Linked DNA regions of Oryzias latipes. The protein of the gene in region 2 purifies or fractionates together with the protein of the main gene of each other region. This does not show direct contact. Links are inferred from orthologs where the notes say so. Each region holds a gene or a part of one and is shown on either strand. Other genes may lie near its edges. The genes, in order: ribosomal protein S6 kinase alpha-3 and fgfr1.

Evidence for each region.
Region 1: the proteins of fgfr1 (region 2) and ribosomal protein S6 kinase alpha-3 purify together in Homo sapiens (affinity purification with mass spectrometry; 4 studies listed by BioGRID and IntAct, with this or other methods). This does not show direct contact. The link is inferred for Oryzias latipes from reciprocal best matches to the Homo sapiens genes FGFR1 and RPS6KA3.

Annotation. Positions count from the first base shown.
Region 1 is NC_019878.2:2,770,126-2,786,472, forward strand, and holds the start of ribosomal protein S6 kinase alpha-3, read right to left. Parts: upstream 7,146-16,347; 5' UTR 7,131-7,145; coding exon 6,906-7,130; intron 1,044-6,905; exon of another isoform or gene 1,018-1,043; coding exon of another isoform or gene 919-1,017; intron 1-918. UniProt on the Homo sapiens protein: Serine/threonine-protein kinase that acts downstream of ERK (MAPK1/ERK2 and MAPK3/ERK1) signaling and mediates mitogenic and stress-induced activation of the transcription factors CREB1, ETV1/ER81 and NR4A1/NUR77, regulates translation through RPS6 and EIF4B phosphorylation, and mediates cellular proliferation, survival, and differentiation by modulating mTOR signaling and repressing pro-apoptotic function of BAD and DAPK1.
Region 2 is NC_019867.2:20,585,432-20,602,016, reverse strand, and holds the end of fgfr1 (fibroblast growth factor receptor 1 precursor), read left to right. Parts: coding exon of another isoform or gene 1-30; intron 31-5,009; coding exon 5,010-5,206; intron 5,207-5,491; coding exon 5,492-5,637; intron 5,638-5,851; coding exon 5,852-5,973; intron 5,974-6,754; coding exon 6,755-6,865; intron 6,866-9,016; coding exon 9,017-9,207; intron 9,208-9,303; coding exon 9,304-9,426; intron 9,427-9,526; coding exon 9,527-9,597; intron 9,598-9,698; coding exon 9,699-9,836; intron 9,837-10,624; coding exon 10,625-10,730; intron 10,731-10,805; coding exon 10,806-10,982; 3' UTR 10,983-11,983; downstream 11,984-16,585. UniProt on the Homo sapiens protein: Tyrosine-protein kinase that acts as a cell-surface receptor for fibroblast growth factors and plays an essential role in the regulation of embryonic development, cell proliferation, differentiation and migration.

The DNA.
Region 1 (16,347 bases), on a different chromosome or scaffold from region 2:
TAACTCTTCCTGAACTGTTCGAACCACCTCCAAGTTTTTTTTTGCTTGTCAGATTCAGACTAAAACTTCATCATTTTATTCTGAAATGACTGCTTTTCTTTGACTTCAGATCAACTCAAATGTCCTTCCTGTTGTTTTACTTTTGTTTTCTCGTCACAGTGCAGTTCAACAAAGGAGTACCAGCTGATTCAAACTGGACCCAGTCCCTGAAGAATCCTGCTATCATCTCATCATTCTGGCATCTTCGGAGCCCATCACCACATCACCTGGATGGAGCTCCTCCGTCAGGAGAGGGAACGTCTGCCTGACACAGGAGGAGCTGAAAACAGCCTAAAGCCTGAGGTGGACGCCACGTTATCCCAGAGTCAGCTGCTGCAGCGAGCACCCGCCCACACACAAAGGGAATTAGCAGCACTGAAATGTGAGCCATTAGAGACGTCAAGAGATCGATGGCAAAGCCTCATTAGACCATGATGCACTGCAGCTACAGAATGACAACACAGGGTGCGGCCTCGGTGCGCTCATCCTCCACAAACAGCACCAGTCTGAACCGGTCCGGCACTGTTTGGTCACAGGAAGTCTACTACTGGGCTTTATTTTGAAGGGATCAGAAACCCTGAGTCCAAAGGATGATGGACGCCCGGTTACTCCGTGACTCACCAACAGGTTGAGCCAGCTTTCCGAGTGTTCGTCAGCGCTCTGCGGGAAACTACCACTCACACAGAGATGGCCATGCGGTTGTCCTGGAAGCACCCACAGCACCTGCCCCCCGCCCCCTGCGCTGAATGACCCAAGTCCACACACGGCGTCCAACCTGCAGCAGCGCCCCCCCTCCAGCTCCTGCTCCAGCATCTCCTGCCCTCAGCCATCCCAGCACGTCAAAAGGTCAACAAGTCCACACCCGTCTCCCACAAATACCTGATGATCCCAGGCCACGCACTCGTTCTCTGCCAGGTCTCCCAGTGCATTGTGGGTCCTGTAGTCCCGGCGGCGTCTAAAGCTGCGTGGCGTTATCATGTTCCCGGGAACAGACAGCAGGGAGAAGGAGCGGCTTCTGCTCGTCCCTGACAGAACACGTCTCTCTCCCAGAGAGAGATGTCCTCCTCCCTCCTCCCTCGTTACCTCCTACTTTCTCGCTTTTTCTATCTTTGTTTGAACTGTTCTCACCTCTCCTTTCTGGCTCGCACCTCCCTCTTCCCTGGCTGCTCATGGGAACCGGAGTCGGGGGGGGGGGGTTCTGCAGAACATCTCTCGCCTGCGACATTATTGGGGTCAGAGCCTGCAGGACCTTTTTCAAACACCGTCCACCTTCAGCTCCGCCTCCTGCCTCCTGCCTGATCAGGCGGGAGGCGGGAGGCGGCTGTTTGCTGCGCTGATTCAAAAAGCACAGAACTTTCTAGTAGCCGTCGTCCACAGCAGCTCGTGGTTTTCACACGGAGCTGGTGAAATCCCGTCAAACACCAACCAGGAGAGCTGCACAAAAAGAGGTCAACCACTTCATCACATGTGTCAACCTAATGACACAACAAGCTGAAGGAAAGTTAGCAAACATCCTCTTGACAGCTTACAGGAAGAGGAAGAGGAAGAGGAGACTCATCTAAAGACTCAAAGTTCCCTCTAAAGAGCTGTTCAGTGAAGCTTCCAGATAAACGGATGCTGGGTCTGGATAAAGATGTGAAGTTCAGTCCATCAAGCGTTAATAAACAGAAAAAGACGACCGTCTCTGCACAATAAAGCAAACACCTCAGCCCGTCAGCACAGCACGTCATCCCCTCTGCTGTCGCCGTGTTCAGGACAATGCGGAACGTTTGGGAGTGTTGACACATCGGATCATGCCGTCTGTGACTCAGAACACAGATGGAGGATCGGAGCTGAGGCGACAGGCCGCTCGCAGCACCTCTGATTCACTGGACTGAGAGGGAAAGCTCGCCAACAGGTAGAGCTCCACGCCGGCCTGCACGCATCTTCCTCATGAAGGCTCTTCAACAGCATCCAGCTTCTTCCTCTGAAGACTATTTCAATCCATCCGCCTCCCGCGCTCAAGACAATTAGCTCCCTGACTGCACAGCTGAGCAGGACGCTGAACACCAACACCTGCAGCGGTTCATCATTCACTGCATAATTCTAGGTTTGATCCCCAACATGAAGACTTGGCTCCTCAGAGACTCTTCAGCTGATTACAGGTTCCTGAGAAATGACTCAGAAAAACTTCAACATCAACAACAGATATGACAAAATAAGGACGATTTGATAGACTGTAACAAAATGTACCAACTGTGTGGACACAGAAAAACCTGTAAGAGTGTTTTTTTACTGAACCGAGAACAGCTGAACCTCTTTCACTGCTTTTTAAGTTGAAGTTTTGACACTGGGCAGTCAGGGAGTCAGGAGGACTCACTTCCAAAATATGCCTTCATTTAGTTTGGTTTCATGCTGCACACTTTCACAGGAGAAGAACAACATTCACTAAATTCCACTGCTATAGCTGTTGCCAAAAACATGCTTTGACAAGAGTTCTAGATAAGAATCGGCTCCTTTGGTTCTCATGCAGCACCTCCTCGGTGCAGAAGCAGGGTTCCCACCTGTGTGATGACTATAAACACCGTCACCTCACTGATCCAATCACTTCAAATGATTAAAACGACAGCGTAAGGTCAGCCACAGATGCTCTACAATACGTAGAAAACACTGTAAAGTCCACAGGACTTTCTCTTTTCTATGGATCACAAACTATCCCTTCATCGGTTGGTGGATGTAAACCGATGATAAAATGATATACTTCCACCTACTGGGAGAAAAGTAAAACAGTGGCATCTGCACTCTGGGTCTAATGGTTAAGCTACGCTCACTCCCCCCTCTGCAACGCACGTTCCAGGGAAACTTCGGATGAACAGATATGGAAACACGTGCAAATGCGCGTTTTGGGCGCTCAAAAGTCGTGCGTCTTTACTCAACTCTTTATGGCTTTTTTTGGGCTTTACCAATCAAATGTGCATCTATTGAGCCCACGCTGAAAGTTGTGGAACTTTGACGTTCCCGTTCCCATTCAGTTCACGGAAGCGTTTCAAATGTGATCATGGAGGAGAAATGAATAACTGCAGTTTGTGTCCGGCACCACCTCTTTGGTCTATGGGAATGAATGGAGCTGTGAATGGAGCGAGATTCTCCAGATTTACTTGGTGGACACGAGTTAATAGAAAGAAGAAGAAGCAGCCCCTCTTTATGAAGACTTGATATGAATCCATTTTTGAACAAAATTATTCAAACGGAATGCATTGTGGTCTATATTTGCCGATCTACTGGGCATCGATGCTCACTGGCTGTTTGCAGAGACTTCTGGGAAATTTCTAAGGCTCATGGTTTAGCCATACAAAGAAGCGAATGAGTAGTGAAGGAATTAAGACACTTTTTCTCAAACTAAGAAAAAACCCTTGTTTGTTTTTGTAAGACTAAAGATGAGACCATTTTTCTTCAAACCAGAGTCTGTTTACTTTCTCAGGAGAGAGTTTTTGTAGTCTATGGACTACATAAGGGTTGGACAGAGAGTATTGTGATCAGGAGAAAGACCAGGTCCTAGCTTTGTTGGTCCCGGTCAGAGGTTCAGGTCTCACAGGGGGACGGCTCTAGTGCTGCATGTTTTTTATTTGTATGAAATGATGAATACTCTGTTGGAAGTTCAACAGTAATCAGAGCGTCCTCCTGCTTCCACGTGGGAAGCCTTTTTAAAAACCAAATCACGCAGGAGCCGCCAAACAAAAACAACTAAAACTCTTCCTCCTCATTCCGAACGGCTTATCTGATCTCACCACACTCAAAGAATTCCAAATGTGCCGTGAAAATGTAGACATGCTGCTTTATTTTTAACTCACTGACATCAAAATCAGGGAGAGAAAGCCATTATTAGAGACCAAACGGGAACTCCTCCCTTTAAATTCAGGGAGCTGTGTTGATGTTGTTCTGGCGCCACAACAGTTTGTGTTGCTGCTCCCACTCATTCAAAGGACTACGGAAGAAATAGCTCAACATGTAGTGTACGTGTGGTTCCACACAGGGAGAATAAGTGGTGTTGATGCTGAGATTCTGAAGGACTTGAGTTTGAACTCGGGTCATAGTGACAGCCTTTGGTATTTGGATTTACTGATGTGTCATAGTCATCAACATCAGAGCGTCTCCTCATGTTGATGGCTAATAACGAAGGTGGAGTGTTGCCCTCAGTACACTGAGCCTCTGGTTGGGTCTAAATTCCTTCACTACTCACTACTTAGTTCACTATACAGAGTGCTCACCATTTTCTACTGCTGTCTGAATCTACAATTCCAAAATCCAGTGCCTGGAAATTTCCCAGAAGTCTCTGCGAAAAACCAGTGTGCATAGATGCTCACTAGATTGGCGAATATAGACCATAATGCATTGCATTGAAACAATAGTTGTGAGAAAAAAACATGTATTTCTGTGTGTTTCTTTGTCTAAACTATGCAGGTTTTGTCATCAGAACACAGTTGATTCATAAAAAGTCTTTGTGTAATGTTCATGTTTGTTCAATTTTCAGTAGTTCTGGAGTCGGCGGGAAATTCAGACGTATTTTCTGTCTTATAGTCACTTTATCAGAAAAGGGTATTTGTGCATGTTTTCCTTTTTCCTCCGTTTGCTGCACCTTCTTTGTCCTTCTGTCACAGTAGGTTTCAGTGAGTTTTTGAAGCATTTCAATGCTTCCTGCTCCTGAACTGGTCCCATGAAGCGATGCAGGTTTTCATCACCGTGTTGGGACGGGCAGAAGTGGACATCAGCGGGTTAGAGCGCTCCTGCAAACCTCCTCAGATCGAGTTAGAGCCTCCCAGAGAGCGGTGTAATGCAGTTATGAGCAGCAGACGCTTGACACAAACCCTGCTTCCCCCCCCTCAGGTCCGAGCCTGCAGGGAGGGGGCCTTCAGGACCACTTCTGCCAGTCTGTGCATCCAGAACTCATAGCGCTTATGGAGACGAGGGATCCAGAGAAGGACGTTACACAACAACCGCTGCAGAGCTCACCCTTTCACCTGTGCCAGGCTGTTTTCCTCTGAAAGCTGTCAGTTTTTTTCTTACTGGTCTTTAGGTTTTTTTTCTCACTCTTTAAAAAGTAAAAGCGAAAACCTTCAAATCCTGCAGAGATCCTACAAACTCGCAGCTGCAAGTATCATTCCAGTTCAGACGACGTTTAGCTTCTTCACATGCAGTCCAGCATGGTTTTGATAATGTTCACACTTTGGATAAGAACAACTCCAGACTAAAGCAGCTTCATCATTCCTGACCTTCAGCATCGTCACTCATCCGCTCAGCCTTCACATTTATGCTCACGCTGGAAAAACTTCCTGCACTCTGTGTTTATTTAGAGTCCTACAGTTAAACGTTAAAATGTCACAGAAATGATGGATGCTTTTGGAAATACATACATCTAATAAAACAGCTGGAGGACACAGAACCTCCACGAAAAAACCTTCCTCAGCATTTTATAATTAACATCAAATAAAAGGAATACAACATAAACATTCTGACTTCTCTCCATTTGAAAGTTTTTTTTTTTGCTTTGATCTCATCTTAAAGTCTTCTTGTGAACTTAAAACTTTTTTTTAATGCATAAAAAGTCCAAACAGAGAGAAAGCAACAAAATAAAAGAATCCCTTTTGGAGCCAAAAAGGTCGGGTGATAACTTTCATCCGGACCAAACAGGAGAACCGTGGTCCTCTTCAGAATGAGGATCTCTGTTGACTTGCAGGTGAACTCTGGTGTGCATGCCCACAGCATGGATCTGAAGGAGCAGGAAGCATGTCTGCCGGGTCAACATGGAGTGGACGAGCAGCTTTTCTGCTCCAGTCCTGGTCGGAGCTCGTTTCAGGCAATAGTGCCTCAGACGGTCAGTCTTTGGTTCTCAGGAGAGAACGCCCAAACCAACCTGTTCTCATTTATCTTCTGCCCCTGGGACAGTCCCACCAACAAGATGGCCCTGCAGAGGGTGACCAGGACGGCCGAGAAGGTCATCGGTTGCCCTCTGCCCCCCCTGGAGCACATCTCCAGCTCACGCCGCCTCAGGGGAGCCAAGAAAAGTCCTGACCGACTGATCTCACCCTGGTCATCACTTATTCAGACTGTTGCCATCATAGACCATAGATCCCACACAGCCGTGAAAACAGTTGCTGTCCAAGAACCATCAGGCTCCTAAACACACCACACCCCACACCTTTGTGTCTCCAGATGCACATTAAGACGACGGCTGCCAGTAAAGCATTCTATTCTATTCTATTCCATCCCCAGATGCAGAGGACATGAAGAAGTACGACCGTTTCTGAAAATGAAGCCATAGGAGAGAGTAACCCGCATCGGTTTGAAGTGACAGATGCAGCAAACATCCTGCAGGAAACGCTAAAAATCCGGTTTCAACCACATGTTCACCTGAGTTCATCACCAACTCACGAGGCCTCAGGATGTTTTCGTGCTTCCACCTTCATCTTACGCAACAACAGCTGCTGGGAAGCGGAGACGATGACCTTATTATTGTTGAGAGTGACAGCTGATCCGTGAAAAAGCTGGAGCTGGAGTCCTCCGACACTCCGGGAGGACTTGGAACGGGTCTGACTGCAGCCGTCCAAACTGTTATCTTTACGTGGAACAAAGGTCTGACGGCGGCACACGCCAGTGCAGGAGAGGATAAGCGCGCCGTGACCTGATGCCAATCACACACGTGCACGGCGGCGAGCCCTGTGACTGTCACTCACGAGCAGACTAAACCTCGGCGACACGCTCATCTGTCTGAAGGGCAGCGTGAACCACAGCCCGGCTGACAGCTGAACCTCTGCCGCTGTGAGCTGTCAGAGGCGGGGGGGGGACCCTCAAACATGCAGGGGGCTGGGGGGGTCCCAGTGAGTACTCACAGCCGCACAGGGGGGGTCTGCTGCATGACGGCTCAGGAAGGAGCCCACAGGCTTCCAGCTCTCCAGCCCAGGATTGTGGAAGGGCTCTCCTCTGAAGCTCCGGGTCGGGCGAGGACGGCGGCGGGTGAGCAACAGCCGCCGCAGCGACTTGAGTCTGCTCCTCAGGCCTCTGATGAGGCCGCCGATGGCGCACACGCACGGCGCCGCGGCCGCAAAGTGTGTCATGGTGGCATGAAGTGAGGCGCTGGGGGTCTGAGCAGAGAGAGGGAATACCCGGAGAACAGGCTGGGAAAGGAAGGGAGGGGGGGTAATTCCAAACCGGGATGGGAAGTGGGACCCCCCCCCTCCCTCTTGAACGCGTGAACATGCAGCTGTGACCTTCTGCTTTCCAGATGAACCTGGAGATCCCCACAAGGACACCAGGAGAGAAAAACCGCTTCAGGAAAGCACCGATCGGCCGGCCGGCTGGTTGGCGTGCCCCCCCCCTGTCCGTCAGCTGGAGGCGGGAAAACCCTCTTCTGCACCGTAAATCTGAACGTCCTCAGCTGCTTCAACCGCTCAGACGTGTTAACGTTCAGCCCCTTCCTGCTTCTACTACCGATGCTCTTTATGAACAAACAGGAAAAGCTTTTCAAATCTTTCAGCTTCTTTTTAAATGTTGAAACGTTTGGTGGATGATTTACTTTAAGTTCATAAAAACCTGGACGTCAAGATGCTAAAATGTTCAAATGCGTTCAGTTAAACCCATTTATTTAAGAATAAATAGTTTGAATTGAAGAGCCGATGCTGATCGTAATTATAAAACCATCAACAACATGAGAAAACCAAAAACCACACAGATGAACTTCAGGAAAGACCAGCCTCCTCTGAAGTCTGAGTAACTTTGGTTAATCCTGTAAATCTACCATTTCAAACAAGTGCAAATAAAGTAAACCATCAGTTTAAACATATTGATGATATTTATACTAGATAGATCCTTTTTAAAGTAAAAAACAACATTAACATAACAATCAATACATTTCAGTCCTAAAGATTCAGAAAGAAGATGATTGATGATTGAATCACTTATTGGTTCTTGACGGGATCTGTTGGATCTCACTGGTTTAGGATCCAGAACCCAGACTGAGTCTCCGCTGCACACGGAGGATCTGATCTTCTGATGCTGGACCTTCCAGATTCTTCTGAGCTGCAGATCACCCTTGACTCCGTCCATCAGTCCTCGGTGGGATCGACTGACGGACGGCTGAAGGCTGTGGCGCAGCGTCTTTCTCTGACGTGACCGTGGTGGTCTCCAAACCCCCTCCTGATGTTGCACCTGAACATCCCATAGATGTGGGGCCATAAAGACCTCATTCAGCAGAGAAGCTGCACATGCTCCTTCCTTTGGTTTCTCCAATTTTTCCAGCTGTGAGTTTCACTCAAAGCCATGTCATTCCTGTATTACAGGGAAGTGGGAACTTCCTGTAAAACACTTCCTGTTAGAACCCCAGGATCTTAAATTGACCCAGAATGCAGCAGCCTGGAGGTGAACAGACGGGACCACGTCATCCCACAGAGGTTTGGTTTCTCCTTTGAAGGGCTGTTTTTAAGGTAGCGTTGATGCTAGTGCTCTTTGTCTTTGTGAACATTTTCACGCCGCTGACCAACAGCAGCGTAGAAGTTTGTGTTCTAGTAGGCTGCCTCTTCTGCTCCATTCCCATCTTCATGGAAGGCTCTGATGAAAGACAAAAACGCTCTTTCTCGCATCGTTTTCAGAGGAACGGTGTTCACCCGGAGCAAAAAGTCGTGAAATCTTCTAGAAAATCTGCCTCTTTGACGCAGACATATGTACACAAACGCTGACGCACAAACCAAACGACCCACTGAACGCCGCTGCGGCGCGGCAGGACGCCCTCCAGCACAGACCCAATCCCCCAGCTGTCCCGGCCCACTGCTCCCGCTTACACAATGTACACAATGCTGGGGGGGGGGGCAGTTGACAGGATGTGTGACGCATCTTGGATTACCTCCACCTGTTGTCACCTCCTCGCTCTGCTTTCCACCAACGCCAGAGCTAAGACGGACGGGGCTGAAGGACGCAGCGGCACAGCTGAAAGGGTTTGATCCCCAAATGATCACGGACAACTTTGACATCCTCACAAATGACACACAAACCGACCAATCTGTCTGCTGTGCTCAAAGCAACAGAACTTTGTGTCTTTTCTCATTCTGGATCATTCTGCTTCTATTTTCTAATTGTTCAGAGAGATTTTTGGTGCGTTTGTGAGTAAAAAAAAGGGGGAATTTAACTGTGGCCAACAAGGTGAGACAGAGATGAGAGCGTGTCCAGCTCCCTTTATCAACCCTGACAACAGAAATAAATGCAACTGTGTCTCCAGTGATACCAGCAGACACACCGCTGCTGTGTGCGTCCTCCCAACACGCCATGTCTGATGGGTCTTCCAGCCTCCTGACTCACAGCGGGTAAGAGCATCAACTAAACGCCTCAGATTTAACGTCTGTGTGTGTGTGAGGGGGGGTGTTTGTGTGTGTGTGTGTGTGTGGGGGGGGGGGGGTTTCCATGGTTTGAGTGAACAGGATTCCATTCCAGACAATCTGCACCCTCTAAGCCCGTTACGCAATCAAATTAACGTGCCGGCTGGCCACCATACACGTACACACACATACACACACATGCGCACACACAGGGACCAGGAGGATTTGTCAGGTTGGACAGAAGAAGTGCGTTTCCGCCGCCCATCCCCGGGGCTCAGATACCAAACAGGAGAAGGCGGAGATGTGTCCTTCAGGCGTCCTAACTCAACGTTAGGTCCAACCACTGAAGCTCTGCACTAAAGTCCTAACTATGACTGTCCGGCTGGTTTGGGGGGGGGCGGGTTCTGGACAGCGGTCAGAGTCTGTGTGCAGGACAGAATCTGCAGAAAGTCCTGCTGCACTGACAGGAAATCCAGCCTCAGGCAGCAGAAAGGAGGGGATCATTCAGATGTGACACAAAGGATTTTAAATCTTCCAGACTGCAAGAAGATTTTAAACGCTGGCAGAAAGGAAGCTGAGCCTCATTTTTCTACTGAATGAAGTTGTTTTTCTTACTCCTGCAGTAAATTGTGAAGTAAAGAAACGTTGTCATACGGCAATGTTCAGGTTTGTCCGGCACTGTCACTCTTTTAGAGTAAAAGAAAACTGGAGTATAGCCATCAATCATTGATCAGTCTTCATGTGAAAAGTGATTCAAGGCTGAAAATGATCCACTTCCATCATAAATCTGTCTCATTCTTGACATCCACTCCCATTATTTTGAGCTAAGGTCATGGATTTGTTTCCCTCTTCAGAAAAGGCAGGAAGGACTCCTTCAAATGCAGCACAGTCTGAGTGATGCAACAAGAAAGTGTACGTTTGTGAAAAAAAGGAGGGAAGGAGATGTGGGAGGCGGATATGATCCAAACTTCATGGTTCAGAGAAAGCGAGGAGCATTAAGAATAGATGAGGAGGAGCGGAGGGAGGACGTCATCATTAATTCAGGAGCTGGCAGGATGAAATCCTGGATCACAGCTCTGCATGCAGACACAACCTCAGCTTTTCATTCGGCTTTCAGTGATCCGACAGGATTCAGGAGAGGAGAGCAGCACAGGCGGGGACATGTGAAGCTCTCCTGTCCCTGGACCTAAAGGTGAAACCTGCACAGGTAAAAAAAAAAAAAACCTCAGAGCTGCTCCTCCCACCAAATTGACTCTAGAAAAGGCATGCTGGCCTAATTTGGTTCTGAGCCTCCAGAGCCCTCAGGTCCTCAGGTGATGGCTCCGCTAAACGTCCCTGAGGTGAAACCTGAACCCCGCAGTGAGCCTCCTCCCACCTCCCTGAGGACGTTAGCTCAGCCTCATGGAATATGAACACAAATAAATGGGGGAGCTGCGTTTCTAGTCCAGCTTTTCAACAAACCTTTGGTTTTGGTCCGAGCCGCTCCCTAAAGTGAGGAGCGTGGAGCGGAAAGATGTGCCTAAAATAACCAACAACACTCAAACAGACATACATTTAGGATTAAAAGCTTCAAAATCAAATGGAAAAGTTCAAGGAAACAAATAAAAGTCAATGTCTGTATTTAGATGGAAAAACTAGAAAATGATTTGTAATTTCAACAAAGTTTTGTAAAAATGTGACATACTAAAGGAAAAACATGAATGCTAATTTAATGTCTAAATGTTTAGATGAATGAAAACTAAAGGACAGAGAATGATGCCACTGAAAAATGATTGACAGCTAAACTTTAACCCTTTTCTGACAGACACAAAGGGAAATAAACAAGTTCTTGCTTAAAAATCCTGACTTTCTTTCCCCCTATTCTTATATTTACAAATCTTTAGCCCCATAATAGATTTAGAGGCTGACTGACGTTGACGACAAACTTCCTGGTGGTAAAGTTTCCATGGGCGGCAGGTCGCCGCGGTAACGGCCGTCACTGCATGAAGAGGGTTTCCACTGCATGAACTAATGAGCCCATTTGACCCGACCTCAGCACAACCCTGTGCTGCCATCCCACGGGACAACAGGAAACGCGACACAAGTCTGATGGAAACTAGGAATCCTGTTACTGGACATCCCTGCACAGATGATTAAAAATACAGAATTGTGTTTTGTCTGGTTCCAGCTGCTGGTCGTCAGAGGAATCGGTGAACGCTGCCTCGTCAGGGTCAGGAGGTCAGCTCACTTTCTCTGCATGTTGGATCGGTCAGTTTTTCTTGAGTGTTTATTAGATAAACAGTCACGTGATCACAACAGTGCTCCCCCTAACGGGGTTTAATTGGTTAACTAGTCATATTTAATAATAAAAAGCAAACTGTCAACTAAGTCAGACTATAACATAATAAAAAATCCTACTAAAAATATAACCATCTAAAACAAAATGAACCCTTCTAATAGCCTTGAATCTTGCTTCTATAACTAATCTATACTTTTTACCCTAATAAACAACTAAAAGATAAAAAATACTTTAAAAGCTAAGTTAGCCAAAGGAATGCTATAGACAATCACAAATTTATTTAACTAAACCTGTTTAACTAGAATTAACTATAATAAGAGTCATGAAAGAGTCAACAGAAAGGGGGAAAGCACAAAAGAACATGAGAAAAGAAAAATAAGCAGTGAAAGTGCCTAAAATGGCATCAAACACCGTTAAATTCTATTAAACACTGTATGTTGGGTTAAATGAGAAACGTTTAAGATAATAAAAAAAGGATTACTTTCTGCTAAAATAGATTTTCTGTCAATTAAAAGACAAATATGGAACAAAAGTAATAGAGATTTGTTAGACAGGGGGGGGAGCAACTTTGAGACGGGACGTCCCGTCACCATGCCAACCCCGTTCCTGTGGCGATCTGTCCAAAACACACATCTCCGTGGGATGTTTTGGACAGTCGGCCCACTGTTCCTGTCCCTCTCACTCTTTCCCTCATCTTCCTCCTCTCACATCCCCCCCCTCTCGTTCACCCTGGACCCCATTAGAGGACATCAAAGGTCTGCGGCCTGACATCACTGCAAGGGGGGGGCCTCAAAGCTGGAGCAGGAAGCCCAGCCTGGGACGGTCCTGCTGACCTGGACAAGGAGCGCTCAGGACGGAGCGCATGAAGCTGAGAGATGCTGCACAAAGGTCACAAAGGTCACAGCCGCCATCCCAGCTTACAAGTTCCTGAAAAGTTCACATTCAGAGCAGCGGGGCCTAAAATTAGACCCATTCACACAGTCACACACATTCATACACACAGTCACACACACATTCATACACACAGTCAGACAACGGGTGGCGGCTCCGCTGCCGAACACAGGCATCCGCCTACCACCAGGAATGAACAACAATGCTCACAGTGACCCAGAAATGCATTGTGGTGGGCGTCTCCCAGCAGTTTCCTGCCTTGTGATCCGTCACGGGAAAAGCCACACAGTCCTACCTCCATACACCCACCTACCCACCCACCCATCCACCCATTCATCCATCCATCCACCCACCCAACCATCCATCCACCCATTCATCCATCCATCCACCCATCCATCCACCCATCGCTCTCCACCTTTTCCATCAAAAGTCATCTCCAAGGTCAGAGGCCTGGAGTCCACAGTCGCCGTCTGTCAGACTGAATCTTCGTTCTGCTGGCAGCATCTAGAGAGCAGCAGGTCCTCCCAGAGCTCCAGCCTCTCTGCATGTTTTTCCGACTAAACCAGCCTCCATCACGACTCCTTTGTGCTCGTTAGGAAAGCTTTTCTGTTCTGCTGCCGTCCAGTAAGAGGATCAGAGACTTAGCGCCTCGCATAAGCTCCTGCTGAATCCAAACTTCCAAACATTTGCTGCATTTCCCATAACAGCTGATTTCTAAAAACAGGAGCATGCTGTCAGAGTGTGCAGGTTCAGACTGTGAAAACACGACTGTGTGATCCTGTTGCCAAAGCAGAGCTGGGTGTCTGCTCACGGAGAGCAGCTGTCGGTGTGCGAGTGCGTGTTACCTGGTACCGCCGGTTCCTCACGTAAAATAAAAGCGTCTTCATGGCGCTCCTCTTCTGACACGGCCACTCTGGGAATGACTCACTGAGGAGCGCGTTGCAGCACTCTGCTCTGGGACGCAGGAAGGCCGTCCAGCTGTTCGGCGGGGAGATTAGAGCATGTCCTGTCATTGTCTCCCTGGCAACAACATCTGCACAGGAAGGCAAGCATCTGCCCTCCCAGCAACCCCGACCAAACTCCACCCGAACATCCAACAAGCTGCACCCAGCTGAAGCTCAGGCCTGCAGCTCCGCTCGTTTGTTTGTTGAGCCAGCGGAGATGATTCCCACATTTTCTGTGGACCTCAAACACCTCACTTTTGATTGCTGGTCCAGACCGAGCAGAAAACCTGACTGACAGCTGCAGACACAAACGTGACCCCACATCAACCCCCCACACACCATGGCAGGAACCATGGAGGCGTCTTATCATGAGGACTTGAAATAAACTGCATCCATGTTGGATTCATGTTAGCGTCGTGTTTACGGGGACATTTGTCATCAGGTGCAGCAGAAAGGTTCTAGTTTCTCCAGTCCAGATCAAATCTTTTACATTTTAACGGGTAACTGCTTCTAGTTTTGTGTTTTTTCTGCTGATTTTTCCCTCCAGCTGACTTCAGTTTGGATCATGATCTGAGCTTTAGTCCGTTTTAGTCTAGCCGTGTTTCCGATCATTGATCTCGTCCCGTGTTTCCTCCGTGTTGCATGTCAGATCTCACACATCGGGGGGGAAGCCCTGTGTCTCTGCAGATGTTCACCACTCCTGCCCTTCCACCCGTCACTCTGTGGGGGACTCGGGTGTTTCTTTACATCTATTTAGGAGTCAAACAGGCTCTCCCAAAAGCTCCTGAAACCAAAATGAAGTAGCATGTTAATGCAACTGTTCACCAGAGAGAGGGGGAACTGAAAACCAAGTTTCATCACAATACTGTCAAAAGCAGACGTGCTGCTGGTTGAAGTCGTGATAATCTCATCTCTGGTGTGAAAACTCAACCGCAGTAGCTGTTTTTAAAGATGTTGATGTGGTTTTCAAACACCGGGGAACACGCAAGAGGAAACCCAAACACAAAGAGGGGAGGAAAAGGAGGAGAAAACCGGCGTGTGCGGCACTCAAGAGGAAGATGAGGAGGAGGAGGATGGAGCCAGCTCTGGAGCCAGTGTGTGTCAGTCAGACATGCGACAGAACCGTCACTTCTTCCCGACATTTGGGCAGAATCTCATAAAAAAACAAAGCATGACAATACATTTGTCGACTACACAATTAACACCTTTCAAAAAAAACTGCAACACTACAAACCTCAAACTGAAGAAATCCTTTCATTTTCTAGCATCCGTTTTAAGTCTAGAAAAGCGTTTGCTCCTCTCTGAACGACCGGGATTTTCGGTGCAGAGTGGATCAGAGCGTCTTCCAACGGCAAAACAGGATGCGGGTTTTTTATATATAATCAGTCCAAGAACTCATCAGTCTGCAATCAGGGGGAGATATCTTTGGTTCCGCTAAGTGTGAAAGCAAAGCCAAAGGGAAACAAAGCGTCTGATCAGCCCCTGGCCTCTGCAGTCGGGTCAACAAAGAGTTTATCACAATCCTGCTCCTCCTTCACCACCACAGATCCGCCGATCCGTGAAAACGATTTTGCTGAATGTGTTTCCTTCCGTTTAGTAGTCCTAGACTGTGGGTGGAAACCCCGTGATTGTCTGCAGCAGAAGCAGAGGGAGCCCTCTTCATCCACCAACCACACCTTCACACTACTGACACTCATCCGACCTGCAGTAGCCCCTTCTTGCCCTGTGGGGTAACAGTCTGGGGCTGAAGGAGCTGGTCAGCCCCTCTGCAGTTTGGTGTAGGGGGTGGGAGGGGCTATGCATGATGGACGTTAGCTTAGCCAACATCCTCCTGTCCGCCACCTCCTGGACGGACTCTAGTGTGCAGCCCAGGACGGAGCCGGCCTTCCTAACCAGTTTAAGACTCCTCCTGTCTCTGCCCTTCACACACACTTACACATATGTGTGTGTGTATGCGCGTGTGTGTATGTGTGATACACAGAGCAGAGTGGCTTCCCTGGAGCATCCAGCAGTTTTCCTCTGCTTCCAGGTTCACGGTGAACGCTGTGAGTGACCGTGGCTTCAGAACGGCTTCGTGTGTTTTCAGAAAACCTTGGCCGGGTCACAGGAACAGCAGTTTTAACAGATCTTCAGACATCCGTCTCCACAGAGACCTCACCCGGTCCTCCCCTAGGAACCCCTCAGGCGTTCCAAGCAGAGACCCAGTCCCTTTAGCGCATCCTGGGCCTTCCCTAGAGGCCTCTGGGACATGCCCAGAACACCTCCCCTGAGAAGCATGAAGGACACATCTGGACGCCGGAGCCTCCTCAACTGTGACCCATCAATGCAGAGGAGCAGTAGCTCTACTCTAGTAGCTCCTTTGGCTGTGTGAGAACATCTCCTTTCAGTCCCAGAGCTCATGATCATGGGAGAAGATAGGAACACAGATGGACATAGGTAGACTAGATCACACCTATCTGCCTGTAGATCTCCTGTTGAAACTCCACCCCCCCAAAGAGAACAAACTAGCTGTTAGCGGTCAAAGACCGCGGCCTCAGACTTGGAGGTCCTAAATCTACTTCCAGCCGCTGAAGGTCAGGCTGGATGAAGCCAACAGGGCAGCATCTGCAAAAAGCAGAGGTGAAATCCAAAGATCTCCAAACCAGACCCCATCTGGCCCCAGAAGTTCTGTTCGCCAACAGAACCGGGGACAAAGGACAGAGCATGCACCTGGGGCCGGTTTGTCCTGGTGCCAACAATACAATACAAACTGCAGCCCTGGTTTCCCTGAAACCAGACAGACCTCAGTAGGGGCCCCCCAACCCCATATTCCTAGAGCACCTCCCCACAAACACTGTGAGGGTGAAGAACAATC
Region 2 (16,585 bases):
ATCACACTGCATGGTTGACCGTTTTGGAAGGTATCAGTGGTTTTCTCTCTTTCTTACTTTTCCTTATATCCTTTCCGATCTCAAGCCGGGCTCTCCAGATTGACATTTTCCAGAAAGCGTTTGTGTTGCTGCATTTCTGCAGATAAATGTGAGTGGAAGCCTGGGCAACATGGTATACTAAACACCCTCCCCTTACTCCTACTCCATCTGAACTTTAGATGGAGGAGAGCACTAAGCTTGCTCTTCTGTTTCTTTAGTTACTTCTGCAAAATGACAAACAACCCAGGAGTTGCTTGGAGTAATCCTGTCTGAATCAACCAGCAAAACCTCATAATTTCAGGGTTTGTTTGGCTGCTCAGATCAAAATTTCTCTTTGAACTCTCTTCCTTTCCGCTCTAGTAATTTATGTTTGGTTTTCACTCGTCTTTTCTCTTTGACGAGTAGCAGAAATGACATGTATCGTTTGATGTCATTTCCTGCTGTGAGAGCAGTGGTTTGCTTTAATACTGTCTCTCTGTAGTAGATGTCTCATTCCTGTCTCTCTGGAATGAGCATTACTCCAATTTTCAAGCTGCTTGTTTAACAGCTTGTGGTGCTAACATTCATCTAGGGGGTGTACTGGTGCATTTCAGTTGGTGCTTCTTTGAGGAGTATCTATGCTTCCAGAGCAACTCTTTTTTTTTAATCCAAAGCCCTGCATAGAATAATCAATAGTTGGCAAAAATGTGCACTTGCAGCATATGTGACCATGTACGGTAATTGATGCACATCTTTAGGAAGAATGGGCTGTATATGAATAGATTTAATTTTTTTCCCTAGACCTGTTTGTAAATCAACTATATCTGACTGAAGTGCACACTGCCGACTTTTCAAACCTGTGTATTTTCAAAAATCTTTAACTGAAAGAAGCCCATTACACCCTATCTACTGAGATGAATAAATGTTGCTGTTTTCATTGAGTGGGAGGAAAAAAACATAGTTTAAATCTTATTTCACAGTTGTTGTTTTTTAGCTCAAAAACATAAAAAAATATAGAAATAGACTTGCTTTAAAGTGATAATTATGATGAAGATGTATTTACTACAGTAAAGTCATGCTTTGTGGTTTACCGTGTTTTATTCTACTGCTAAATAAAGTTTGGGTAAAGCAAAAATCTCAGATTTGCATTAAAATAAATGTTCTGGACTGCAGCTGGTGAAAACACAAATACCAGGAAAAAAATCCATTCTGACATTTTAAAGTAAGAGTAAAGTAAACTAAACTTCAGTTTTTGTAGTATTTTGGAACTGATGAAAGAGAATTGGGGGTGGGATTTTAAGAGAACCAAGAATGAGGAACTCGAAATACTCTCAAAGGCCAGATTAAGGACCTTGCCATGTTAAAATATTGTGTGCACAAGCCTGATCACTTTGAAAACTGGAGATTAATTCTTTTAGTTTATTCTTTGCAGTAGAGGATAACATCTTTTGAGAATGTCGGTTGGTTTTGTGTAAAGGTACATTTAATAAATTGCCTGCACATGCTTGATTTTATTTATTTTATTCTGTTGTTAGCTTTTTAATTTATATTAATTGTTTTCTTTTAATTTAAATGAGGACAGTGCATATTCATCAATGTTTTGGCAAGTGGTAAATTGTTTTCCTAAGGCATGTAAAAGAGAAAAACATATAAACATTAAACACTTAGAACAATTCATACAACAGTAAACACAAGTGAAAACATATACCGTAATTTCCGGACTAAAAGCCGCTACTTATTTCCTGCGCTTACAGCCCTGCGGTTTATTCAGTGACGCGGCTAATTTATGGATTTAATTGGCGGCCGCCATGTACGTACTTTCGGACTCAGTGTATGGTTTGAATTCTCTATCCAACTCCAAGCAACAAGTCATTTATTTTTCAACACACCTCTTAGCTGCCAAACAGCATGCACCTCACTTCAGGTCTTAGACACTTCAGTCATGGTTCAACAAAAAGAAACACGCATGCCCGGCCGCATCCCAGAATCCTTTGGTGCCATTAGACCCAACGTGCACGTGATCGCCACTACAATATGACGCAGCTTTCAAGTTAAAAGCAATCGTTAAAAGCAGCGTGAAAAAATCCACCATCACCAACGGGTTTGGAAAAGCCGGTCAGCTGCTGACGGAAAAGCTGCAATCTGCAGCTGGGCTGCACGTAAATATGTGGGAATAACATCAGCCTTTATTTTGTCGGGACACGACTGGAAACACAAATTGACGTGGTCATTTTAACTGTTTCTAAGGACTGAGCGGAATTTTGCTTTGAAAAGCTCACAGCCTCCGTGTGAGCTGGAGACATGTTCTCCCTGCTGCTCGTTCACATAGAGCTGCGGGGCCGATGGCAGTCTGATGGCTCCCACACGTAACAACGCATCCGCCCCTCATCCACAAAACGTACAGTATCAAGTCCGATTGCTCTGCACAGACACGATTCGCTCGGTCCACCGGCGCAATGGGGACAAAGCGCTCCTCCTTGGAGCCGCTCTGGCAAGCGGTGTCGGAGAGGATAGGAAGGGGAGACAAGGAGCGCGCAGGGCGAGCGCGGGGCGCAGAGGCGTCCGCGGAGCAACAGTGTTTGTTGTGGAAGGAAACTTCTGACGCACGCGCCGCGGCGCGCGTATCGCGCTGAGGCGCGCTTTTCAGTCGGCGCTGCTTTAATTTACTGGTGTGTTTTTTAACCAGCCCTGTTACTCCCATAACGCTGCCGCGACACAAGCGGAAGGAGAGCTGTTCTTCCGTTCGCCCCTCCATCCACTGCTGTTCCTTGCTCATTCTTAAACACGTACAACAGTGTGGCGAGGCCGGGCGTTGACCCCGCCTTTAGCCCCTAAGACTCATGGGAAATGGGGGATCGCGGATGTAAATTTCCTCATCATAACTGAGGGATGTAATGTTGATTATATGGTTACTGTTTGTAATTTTATGTATGATACCTAGATTGTCAATAAGGAAAAAAAAATAAAAAAAATTAAAATATAAAAACCATAACTGAGGAACTTGTGAACAGAATAGAGGTGCATGCTGTTTGGCAGGTGTTAGTGTTTTCAAATACATGAGCCTGAGGCAAAGCTGTCTCCTCCCACAGTGTGCTAATGAATTGCGCTCAGTTTGGGAGTCAGGATGTGATTTGTCAGGCTGACCATGTTGCGTACTCTGATGCGGCTTGTGTATGAACAAAAGAAGTTAAACACGTGAAAATGAGTGGGTGCGGCTTGTAATCGGGTGCGCTCTGTAGTCCGGAAATTACGGGTAGTTTATACAGAATACTACAGCACAAAGTAGACATGAGCAGAAAAACAAAACAAAAAAAACCTCCATAGTTTAATGGACCGCAGGGATGGTTTTGAGTCCGAGTACAAGTCTAGTTTGTTTTAACCAATGTTTCAAGCTGTTTTGAACCTTGCATAGTTTTCACTCTTTCTGATGGGAACTGGACGTATATTCCAAAATTTGGTGCCTCTGACGGACACCAAATTCGCCAAATTTGGTCCTGCATCTTTGCTCTTCCCAGTCTCCGCAGGTTAAAGGTCTGGTGTGAATCCCTAGATTATTTTTCTTATGAATAGAATTCCTTAAAGGTGGCAGAGCAAGCCCTTAAAAATTAGACCCTAGAAAACAACAGATAATTAAAAAAAAAACGCACATTATATTTATTGAGAATGAAGCAATAGTGATACTGTAAATCTGCACATCAAGTGTTTTTCAACCCATTTTTAAAGATGGATTAAAGTGGCTTTAAAATAGTTGCATTTCTTTGGGACCAAGTAGAGAGACGATAGGTTAAATGACTAAAAACCATTGACTGCAAATATAATATGATACCTTTAGTAGTCAAATAAGATTGAAGAAATTAACTTGTGGCAGTATCAGTGGATGCTTCCTAAAACCAAACTGCATTGGGTGGAAAGGCGTTGACCCGTTGTTTAGATGTGAAATAAGATATGTTGTTACCCATTTTTCAACTACTTTTGAAATACTTGGTAAGATACTTGTTGATTTTTTTAATTTTTTGGTTTTGTTCTGTCGCCCGCTTTATGTATTGGTGTAACTCCAGCAGTTTTCCATGTTTTTGGAACTATATTGTGTCTAAGGGATGAGTTAATTTAATCTGAAATTGGACTTGCAGGGAATCTTAATGGGTTTTAAGAAAATGCGTAGAGAAAAAATGTATTTATGAGGTTTTAAAGGAAGTTGTTATTTTTAACACATTAAATATTTATAGTTCCGGTGTCATCAATGGGGCAGTTTGAGATTTGGGGGCTTTTTGATTGCATTGTCAATTATTCTATCAATTGTAGAAAAAAAATATTAAATATATTTACAATTGTCTCTAATTTATGAATCTGTCATTAATCCTAAAATTAACATTGCGTGTTACTTTTTTTCATGTCCTATAACTTTGAAAAGGCATCCAAAAAAAACTAATTTAAGTGTCACATTGATTAATAAAATACTTAATATTTAAATTTAATATTTAAACTTCTGTGCTTTAGAGCACACCCACTTGAAGAAATGGGTTTGGAAAGACATTATTTTTGACATGTTCATGTCACAAGCCTGATTGAGGATATAAAAAATAATAAAAATAGCTTATATGCTTTCTTTAAAAAAGCTTTAAACATTTCCTAATGTATCTCGAAAACCATGTCTGTTTGGGATTTTTAAGGTATTTCTCATATAATGGGGCAAATTCTGAAAGTTTTGCTTTACTCTGAACCTAAATCTTAGCTTGGATTAATAAAACAAGAAAAAGAAACATGGATAGTCGTAAAATTTTGAGTATACGTTTTTTTGGACTAAAGTCCCAAATGTTTATAGTTGTTCAAACCATCGTCTCCATCCTGATTGAAAAAATTTTTCTAAAACTGACCCAACACTTTTTAGGAGGTTTAGGCTTCAAGTATGCTTTGTGTTTTTGCATGTGAGAGTCTATGATGTTAATTAATCTATCCTAGCTGACTCCGCCCTTGTCCTGTCCCTCCTGTAGCTGTCACTCAATACCCCCCCACCAGTCATACCTACCTGGAAGTAGGCATTTACTGTGCTGGCTTCTTTTTCATCGCTGTCATGGTTGCCATTGCCGTCATCATCAAAATTCGCTCCACATCGAAGAAGAGTGACTTCAACAGTCAGCTGGCAGTTCACAAGCTGGCTAAAAGCATCCCTCTGCGCAGACAGGTAACAGAAAGTAGATAGGGGGTTTGGAAAACTCTTTTCCCCTCTTGTTGTTTATTCAGATTTTTTGAAACTCATAGCTTTTAGTATTTTTGCTTTGTTTGCACATTTCCAATTCTGCTTTTGTGGACGTTTGTAAATAAAAGCATTCAGAACTTGCAGGTGTATTGTAGTTGCTGATGCTCATGTGTAGCAAGTAAGTATTTAAGCTGCTCTGAAACTCCCAAACTGCAGTGCTTTAACACGACCTCTGTTCCAGTATGAGAAGATTAATGTAACTGTTTCTTACATCAGGTGTCAGTGGACTCGAGCTCCTCCAACCATTCTGGAGTAATGCTGGTTCGTCCCTCCCGCCTCTCCTCCAGTGCCTCTCCTATGCTGTCAGGAGTGTCTGAATACGAACTGCCCCAGGATCCACGCTGGGAGGTCCCAAGGGACAAGTATGTTTTTCAGAAAAAACCTTGAGAGTATACCTGAACAGCAGAGGTCTCCTGGGACTGCATTTTTCCCACCTGTAATCTCAATTAAAAATAAAGGAGTTGCGTAGAGACTGAGAAAAATCTAACACAAGCTTTAGATTACAAATAAATCTGTTTTGTTTTGAACTAAAATGTATTTTTTAAGATGAACACATCCATAATTCTCTCCTCACAGACTCGTTCTTGGAAAGCCACTGGGTGAAGGATGCTTTGGTCAGGTGATGATGGGGGAGGTGCTGGGTCTGGACAAAGAAAAGCCAAACCGCGTGACGAATGTTGCAGTGAAAATGTTAAAGTGTAAGTTACTTTCTTCAAATGAAGAACAAGAAAGTTGGACTTGTAGAAAAATTTCTTTCATTGTCCCAAAATGGGTTAGGCTTTAGAGTTAATGGCAGCAAAACGTCAACCTGGGATGCACAGATTTTAGAAAAAACTTTTTTTTTGTTGGATTCCAGCCATCATTTTAACAAGAGAACTGAGTCCAACATCTCATGAAAAGGTTCTAAATCTTTCTTAGAACACATGCGACATGCCTATTGATTCATATTTGTGAATCTTTAATCTATGTTTACAACACCCTAGGCAGCATTCATTCAAGCACCCACTTCCAATGAAAATTCTATTTAAATGCGTTTTTCTGGCTTCCGTGTTCAAAACCCTCACGTTCATGCGTAGCTACGTTAGTTTTTACAACCGTAAAAACCGTAAACTTCGACATATGGGGCGGACAAGGCAGGAATCAAACTTGCAATCTTCCAACCGACCACCCTACCATTGCACCATGGCCGCCCCATGTCACCAAGTCTTATTGGAGTAGAGCTGTGGAAGAAAAAGCTGGACCAAGATTCAAGAGAATCACCGCTTGACATTGCACACCAAGCCTGTTCCAACTGTAGGTTGGAAGAGGCTTGGGATGCGCTAGTAAACAGTAAAAAAAACAAAAAAAAAACTCCATGCTTGTCCAGTGTTAACACCATGGGTTCTTGAACATGCGGCAAATGCACGGTGTGTACATAGCTTTGTAACTGACTGGATGTAGATCAATCAGCCTGTAGTGACTTATTGTCTTCTCTTACAGCTGACGCCACAGAAAAAGACCTTTCAGACCTGATTTCTGAGATGGAGATGATGAAGATCATTGGGAAACACAAGAACATCATCAACCTGCTGGGAGCCTGCACACAGGATGGTAAGACCAGATGGAGGAGGTCCTGCTTCTGACCTTTTCTGCTCTGATTAGACCATCATGTGCAGATCTGTCCCTGAGACAGGAATGTGAAAATGACCTAAAAAGATGTGCTGGACATCATGAACAAATGATTTCAACTCCAGTCTTGACTCTTGACACTCAAATCAGATGCTCATGCTTTCACTCTGATTAAGAAAACCAATCTTCAATGATCCAACAGAGGGTTTCTTCTGCTGCTTTTCCTTCTGTTAAAAGTTCTTTAAAAGAGCTGCTATTGTTTAGCATGTTGGGTTTGCTTTGCAGAGCTTTGATGGTGTGAACAATGTGAATGCAGCAACGCAGAATTCTTAGACGTGTGTGGAGACGAGACACTCGGGACCACAGTTCAAAAATGGAACAAAAAGAGAGTTTATTGCGTTGAGTGATGTTGGCGTCTTTGCTCTGTCAGTTTGTTGGAGCCAGGAGCCTTTGTCAAAAAAACAGAAATACCTCAGGAGTTCATGACACTAAAACACCAGGCTCTGTGAAACCCTCTACAAAACACACAACTAGTAAAATAATAAACACACATGCAATTTAAAACAAAGCAGCTCTGGCAACAAAATAAAATCCGTCCTGGGTTAACTAATAGCAAGATAAAAAAAACAGAGGGGTACTTGGCTCAAAGAGGGGCAGGTCACAACCACACCCCTCTGTGTTCCAATGTCGCTGTCCCCTCTGACCGCTGTCTGGCTCCTGACTCAGCTGCTCCTCTGGTGCCGGCCAGGGCTCGTCTATCCTGACTTCCAAGGCGCCCCTCTCTGATCTGTCCCGGCGGCGCTTTACCCAACGATGAGTGTTCCTCTAATGTCAGTCCAGCGCTTGCTTGTCCTGGAGCACTCCTCCGACCAGTCGCTCCTAGCATTTGGTTGTCTGGTGGCTTTTCCTCCAACTGCTCATCTTCCACTGCTCAGTATAGCTCTTCTCGGGCAACGGCTTGTGAAATAAGAACACGGTTCACCCTGTTACATGAAGTTCAGATACCTCTGTTGAAGAACCGAGTCTGTACAGTGCTGGTCCACCGATATTAATTGCAACCCTTTCGTACACATGCACACTGTCAGAGGGAGATGGTCACGTTGTTCCTTGTCTACCGCCCTCCAAAATGGTTAGGCTGGCTGGCGGCTGCTGCCAGGGCGTCCGTGGGGTTCCTGCGCCCCTAACCTTGCAGCACTTTTTCCGCGAGGCGAGTGAGTCCACAATATCTGAGTTGGGTGGACCATATCCCAGAGAAGATGGGTAAAGCTCCTTTTCTGGGCACACCGGGGCAACGCAATTTTTCCATCACTGCTCACAGCAACTGGAGCCTGATCCTGGCCCTATCTGGAGCCTTTGCTGGCCAACGGTGTCCACCTTCCTCGTTGGGCGGGCAGTTTTTGCCACTTCCCCCAGTTTGTCCACGGTGGGGCTGGCAGGCAAGCTGCTTGGGTGTGCAGTGCAGGCTGGGTATTGGTGGTCATGGCCTGCCTCTGGGTGCAGGGGCCCCCTCAGGACGTCTGGGCGATGGCATGTCTCTCATCTGGGCATCGGCATAGGTCTTGTGTGGTCGGAGGATTGGGTCTAGGTCTGTAGCACCTTGAGGTGGGGCAGGATCTCTACCCTGGCAGGGGCTCTGTGCGCTCTCTTTTCCTCCTACTTCTCTGCCACGGGGCTGCTGAGTACTGTCCTCCTGCTCCTTTTTTGTGGTGGAGTTCTAGTGCGCGTAAGGGTGGTTATGTAAGAACTAAGTCGGACAGTTTACTTATGACACTCTTTGTTATGTCTGTATTATTGACACTCCCCATCTCCCCCATCTTAAACCCCTATGCCCCATCTTTAACAACCCACTCTTCCCTTTTTTTTTTTCCATCCAGCTCAACAAGGAATGCATATCAAAATAATTATTATAAGTAAAGCTTAGCCTCAAATTACAAAAGGGGTTTATACAAATACACACTTTGTGTGTCAGAAGATACAAAAACCCTTATTATAACAGTAAAATCTGTCCAACGCAGGAGGCCGTATGGTTTTATTTGCTTGCTCTGCTGCTAAACAGGACAAGTAAAAAAAAAAAAAAAGTGGTTCAGATCTGGGTCATTGTTTAAGGTTTTCATTTCTTTCATGTTTTTCCAGGTCCTCTATACGTGATAGTGGAATATGCATCCAAGGGAAATTTGAGGGAATACCTGCGTGCTCGCCGCCCCCCTGGTATGGAGTACTGCTACAACCCAGACCAGGTTTCAGTGGAGACCATGTCCATCAAAGACCTGGTGTCTTGTGCTTACCAAGTGGCTCGAGGCATGGAGTACTTGGCCTCTAAAAAGGTAAAAACACCACGACCACTATTTTGCAGCTGTGCAAAGCACTCAAATCAAGTCCATTTAAAATGGGACGTTCGTTCAGACCTTTTTTTCCTCCAGTGCATTCACAGAGATCTTGCTGCTCGCAATGTTTTGGTAACTGAAGACAATGTGATGAAAATAGCTGACTTTGGCCTCGCCAGGGACATCCACCACATTGATTATTACAAGAAAACTACCAATGTGAGTAATTGATCTGATCAATAACATGAATTAAACTAAAAAGGGACTTACAAAAGGAACATGGAAATGTATTTAACAACACGTTTCTTTTTGTTTTTAGGGTCGTTTACCAGTCAAGTGGATGGCGCCTGAGGCACTATTTGATCGAATATACACGCATCAAAGTGATGTGTGAGTATCATGTTCCACTACCCTTTAAAACTGTTATATAACAAGGAAAAATCGATCTCTTCGGCCGCTCATGGTGCTACTCCTCTTCATTATTTGTTCAGATGGTCATTTGGAGTGCTGCTTTGGGAGATCTTCACCCTCGGAGGCTCTCCATACCCGGGTGTGCCAGTAGAGGAGCTGTTCAAGCTGCTGAAGGAAGGTCACCGCATGGACAAGCCTTCAACGTGCACTCATGAACTGTAAGGAGCCTTTGTATTTTCTGAACTCAGAGTTTATAAAACAGAATACTTTATTTATCCCAGAGGGAAGAAGCATTTTTAGCAGAGCTCCGATCACCAAATTTCAACATGCACAAACTAAGAAAAGACAAATGCAGTGTAATACACATTAGCAGTGTGTAAAATGAAATGTATAATGCTGTCAGGTGGTTTTATGAAGTTAGCAGGCTTTCATGAAAGTTATACAATTTTATTATCACAAGAAGGAAAGTCATTCTGTGGCGTTTGATCCTTGTTGAGAAACCTTTTAGTCTAGCTGTCCTTGTGCTCCTGTATTGGTCCAGGAGCTGGTGGAGGGGATGGGTGGAGTTATCCACAATGCTTTGCAGTTTTTAAAGCATTTTTTGCTCCATCACTGCCGTTCAGGAGTCCAACTTCACTCCCGCCACGTCCCCGGCCTTGCAGATTAGTTTATTCAGTCTGTTTGAGTCTGTAACCCTCTGTCTGCTGACCCAGCAAATTACAGAAATCCTTTACCGATCTCTGTTTTTGCCAAATCATAAATTGTCATTTTCATCACTGCTTTTTAGCAGATTTTGCCTGTTGGTTCAGTTTTCAGGATCATTAGTGTGTTAAAAAATGTAAGTAATGTTAAAAACCTAGTCACAAATCTTAGACTTGGTTAACAATATTTAACATTACTGTCTTAAAATGTGCTGCTCTTAATTTTTGAGTTTTGGAAATAACCAAATGATTTTGTTTTTAAAAGTCGAGTTTTTACCTTTCATGAAAAAAATCTTTTTCTGCAGGTACATGATGATGAGGGACTGCTGGCATGCAGTTCCCTCTCAAAGGCCCACCTTCAAACAGCTGGTGGAGGACCTGGATCGTTGTCTAGCTATGACATCCAACCAGGTCAGTCCCCCTCTAGAGTCTGTAAGTGCTGTCTGAAATCAAATGTTTCTGACCCCCCCCCCTGTGTACTTGCAGGAGTATTTAGAGCTCTCTGTTCCTTTGGACCAATATTCTCCCAGCTATCCTGACACCCGGAGCTCCACGTGCTCCTCTGGTGAAGACTCTGTGTTCTCTCACGATGCTGGAGCAGAGGAGCCCTGCCTGCCAAAGTTCCCTCCTCACTCCAATGGGGCAGCAATCAAAAAACGCTGATACCTCATCTTCCTTCAAACATTGACGTTCCCCCTACTCCCTGCCTCATGGGGTTGAATTTCTCCCCACGCTCCTAGAGATGAAGCGAAAGAACACTGGTGCTCTGTGAGAGAGGAACTTTGCGATACTGTGTGGAACTCAAGTCGCAGACTGCAGATGTGGACTATGTTTACGGGGCACTTTGTATTAGCAGGAGTAGATTCACTTTTCTCTATACCTCGATCATTCCAGTGTTTGGTCATGAGAGCTGACCAAATCACGTCCGTTTTTGTAATGTTTGTGTGTATGCATATGATTGTTTTCACCACCTGATGAGATTTGGTCCAATCCCAACACACTCCCAGCAGATGTGCAGCACCATGTTTATGCACATCTTTCTTAGTGTAAATACAGTTTAAAATATATATATAAATATTACTATATATTTCCAATACTCTTATTTTGTATTAACATAATGATTTTTTTGTGTTTTGTACAAGGATGCCATGGTTTCACCCTTTTTCTAATATAATTTTTAGGGGTGGTTGTTACACGAGGGTATTCTGAAGTTGCTGTGGTTGATATGGCCAGTATTTTTTGTCCGTATTGCAGCTGTGACTCTCCAAAATGAATCATATTATCATTAATAATGTATAATGGATTTTATATATATGTATACATATTTTTTCCAACTTTAACAAACCTGAAATTACGGCATAGCATTTCATGCAGGACCAATTTTTGAAAGTGTGGCGCTGTTTGTATGCCCGTGAGTGCAGGCTTCCAGAGAACTGGTGGTATCTTCCCTGATGGTCTCTACTGTAAATACTGCAGGTAATACGAGCTGTAATATGCTTCAGTTAATACCGCCATCTGTGTGACCTTCATAGGACTAAACTTCCACTGTAAATGTTTTGAGGGGAGTAAACGTTTGCTGCCGTGTGACTTCAGATGAAGAGTTGCAGCGCACGTATGTCATTGTAAAAAGGATTACATTCAATAAAATACTGATGATCAAGCAACTTAAGCTTTCTGAATTTGAACTCTATAAATACAAACATTTCCATGCCTGTATTGGAGGTAGGTTTATAGAAATGGCCACTTAAACCTCTTAATACAGTTGCAGGAATCTGATTGGATATGATAATATGCTGCTCACCTCAGAAGAGAAGTTGGCGAGTGCGCCAAGCCTCTACCGGCTGTAAACATGTAATTTATGACCGTATGAACAGCTTGGCAATTGCTGCTACGACACTCGTCCATCAGCTCCACCAACCTTGATGCCAGTCCCCATTCTGGCTTACTGCCACTTGTGGATATATCACCTGGATTGCCGTTTCCACGCAACAGGCGAAAATCAGCTTAAGTCACTCCTGACCCTTTAAATGAGAACCTTCTCTTATCGTCCTGCTGCTTTCAAAGCAGTCACCTGTGTTGCAATAAAAACTTTAGTTTCTAATGGACGACAGATTTATATCAACATCATTTTAAACTGTAAATCAAAATATGTAACGTGGATTTCTTTATCAGTCCCAGTCAGATTGGAGATCTTTAGATGGAGCAGGAATTGGTAATTTTGGGAGAAAATATCATTCACCCTTGGAAACGAGGTGCAATAAAGCATCGTCTGTGTGTTTTGATTGTTCAAGAATAGAAAGGGCATGCGAAGCCACACTTTAAAACCTGCTAATGGTGCACAGGTGCTATTAGTTTGACTTTTATCATTTCTGACAGATGGCACATGAAGAGTTTGACGGAACAAAGTTTATTGTCTGCGCTTTTGAGAGTATAAACCGTTAGCCTGTGCAAAGAGAAAAATGCTCTGTGGCGTTAAGACCACAAATGTTCACAGAATCCATTTCTGAAAGACGAGGAGTGTGCCATCTATGTGTTTTTAAATTCCATAAAGTAATCCAGTGTGCAACTAACAAATTCCTGCTATCACTAGAATTTTTGTTATTTTATCAGTTTAGCTGCAGCTTCAGAAACATTACACTTCAATAAACCTGGTACTCAATGTTTGATTTTTTTTTATAACAATCAAACGTTCTTTTTATTCCAAAAGAAAAGGAACCATAAAATAAGATATTCGTTTACAAGTTTTTGCTTATGATTTGTATGTTGTCAAGTAAAGCGGACAATGCTGTGGTTGGGATTAGATGACCTTTGCTAAGCCAAACTTCGAAAACGAAAACTAAACAGTATTGAAGAGATTGTAAGATGGGGAACTTCCTTGTTTTCAAATGTTTACATTTAAAGCACCAGAGCATCACATGGCTCAGATGTCACTTTTGCTGAAAACATTACAACATTTTCTAATGCTGGTGAAGTTCCTGTAAACATTAACCTGAAACTTTTGGATGATGGGCAAGGGATTGCAGACACTCTGGTGTCTGAGGAAGCCTTATTGCACAAGTCTGTTGTGAATATGCTTGCGTCTGGCAAAGCAAAGACTTTCCAAGAGTTTTCTAAGGGAGTTTTCTTGCCTTACATCATTAATCAGGCTACAGATGTGAATGGGTTGATGTAGTGTGGGACAGATTTCTTGAATGCTGCCTCAATAGGGCAGTAATAAAGAGCGTCTCGAGGCCCAGGTATCCGAAGAAGGGTGCTTCTCAACACTGGCAGACGTGAAAACAAGGTAGAGTTATTCCAGTTTCTTGGCTGAGGAGTTGCTTGTTTGGAGGTGGAAGGTGTTTTGTTTGTTTCAACTTCTGATGTGAATGTTGGATACAACAGGCCAAGTGACATGGCTGCTGCGGGCATTGACCCAAACTGATCATGAAGAAGCTGCATTCAGTGCAAAATCTACCAAGTCCAATAGATGGACTGAAACCAGGAATGGTTTCATCCCAAAGTGGACCACTCTCCCTGAAGCTTCCACAGTATGTCAGTATATAAGAGCTAGTGCACTGTGGTTCCAAGAAGGCTTGTAGAGGCTTGTGCAAATTTGAGCTGCACTTCTTTGTGTTATTGTGGTGGTGCATGCCACCAGGCAGAGGGCTAGCTGGGGTCTTCTCGATCACTTCAATCTATTGATGCATGGATTGCATTGAGGTTATTATGTAATATTTAACATGTCACTTGTGTGCTTTGTGCTTTATAACTTTGTTGAGGATTTTCATTATTGACCTCTAAATGTGATTTGTATTAACATATACCCAAAGTGTTTATATTCAACTTTTGTATCTCTGTAAGCTTGGATATTGTTAAGATTTTGCTATTTGTGACTCTTTTTTAAAAATGTGAAATCTCAAGAACCATTTGTCATACAAATGATCTTGATCTTGGGCTGAAAATGTGCTGTGCAGAAAGAATGTACACGTATGTATTGGTTAACAATTATCGTGCCCCAGAAGGTAGAAGGCTGCCATAATTGGAAGCCATCTTGAATAATGGAAGTACCAAGCAAAATAAAAAGATTAATCTGCATAACTTTTCTAAAAGCCATCCCAGAGGAGGTTTTGTGTGTTTTTCCTTGGAGGCCTGTTAGATGAATTGCTTTGTGTTTTTGTTTACCAGAGATAGTTTGATTTATTTCAGTGAGGGATTATCATATGCAGGTCTGGATAAAAGCACAGTTCTCTCTCAATGAATCTCCACCGTGTCCTGTCAGTTTTGACAGGTGACCTGCCCTTCAACTCTGGAGCACCTATCAGGAATCCTTTCATAGCTCCATGCAGATTGCAGAGACGGTCCTGGGAGGATGACAGCAATGTTGGTGACGGCACTCACTGTGGAGGCGCTGTGACATCAGCATGTGTTTGTGTGTCTCCCAACAAATAAACATGAAATTTATGGGAAGAAAGGAGGAGAAGTTGGAGCAGGGGGTCTTTCAATGCGCACAAAAATGCTGAAAGGTGTTGTCGGCGCACTATTAAACTCATGAATATCCTTCTGGCCAGCGTCCATCTGCAAGGTGAAGGAGACATTCGCCTCTTGTTACTGGTGTGCCAAGTACATAAAAGGAAGCTCAGACAGTTCAAGCATTCATTTTGTGGGAAGCCGCTGCAGACAGGCCAAGATGAAGTGGACCCAGATTGTTGATTTGAGAACAGAGGAGGAATTCTAATTTTCTTTTGTCTGCTCGCTCCAATAGATTCCCCACCCTTTATAACTATAGTTGAGTAATGAAAAGCTGTTTGGGTTTACATTATGTGGTTTTGGTTGTTGTTTGTTGTTTTACTGTAGCACTAAACTTCTAATTCTGTCGAAGATTGGACTATATTGGTTTAGGAATGTTGCGGTCTTAGAGCTAAACCTTTGTTGGCCCCATAAAGAAAAATTGTCAGCAGGAGACAGTTGGAGTTCTGTTTTATCTCTGCTCTTTGGTTATTGATGTCTCCACGGAGGGCCCGGGCTCCTGTTTATGAGAGAACTGCCTGCATGACAGCTCCTTGGTGCCTTCACTGCTCTATGGGACAGGCATGACAGGAGGGGCGAGCCTGGGGCACGCCCTGTCACTCACTCCCTGCCTCCCTTTTCCATTTTCTCTATTTCACCAAGAACAGAAATACGTATGAAAGAAACAAGAAATGTTAACAGCCTGAAGTGATCACAACATGTACAAGCTGTCTTTTAAAGACTTCCAATTAAATTCAAATAATTAGTTCAAATGTAGAAATTTCTAAAAAACAAAACAAAAAAAAAACAAGACAAAGGAATACTTCTGAAAACATGAGCATTTACTGTGAGAATGACACCCAGATAACAAACAAAAAAACTTCTGTCTATATTAATGCTCCCATTAGAAGAAGAACTAACAGAAATGTTGTGTGTGGATTTATACTTTCACACTGTGCTGTTTGGTACACAAGTTTGAAAACGTATGCGAGTTCTGGACTGCCAGACAAAAAGGATCTTAGATTACATGCAAATGAACCCTGGTGTTTTTTACGCATTTACTGGACTAAGTGAGAAAGACGTCACCCTTCCAGAACCAACAAAATAAAGTCAATTCAGTCACCATTTTTTTTAACAATATGTACACCGCCATATTGGAGCCAGATATCAGTTAGCAGTGATTGGTCCAAGTAGGTCTGAGTTAACATTTCTATGACAACCAATCTGGATTGAGTTTATTGGAAAGCCACATCCTTACCACTTGAAAGCGGGCTTGGAAGAATCTGTCAAGCATATGTTTCAAATGTTTAAGACAACATACTTTTATCGAGGCATCTGATTGGCCAGTTGCATGACATTGCATGACAAATAGAATGACTTGGATAATAGCTATTTATTTCTCAATAGAATTCTATGAGATTTTGGCTTCTTGGAGCCAGTGGGCACTTCCTATTTGTGTGTGTACACAAACTATCTAGTGGACAAAAGAAGTAAATTAGGTCAGTGGTGTGAATTTCAAACTGTTAAATAAAAAACATCTGGATCGGCTCAAATGAACCATGTGTGAAACTATCACAAAACGCCTCTGTGTTTCACTGCAAATTCCACACACATTTGAACCCTTTAGCTACCTGCTCAACCAAATGGTAGAATAAACTTTGAAAATCAAATTTTTTAAAATATTGACTGTGAGTGTTAATCACCAAAGTCAATCAGCAAACGGAAAAAAAAGTTTTCATTGATATTTTTCTTGGTTGGGCTGTTAAAGGTTTAAAGACATG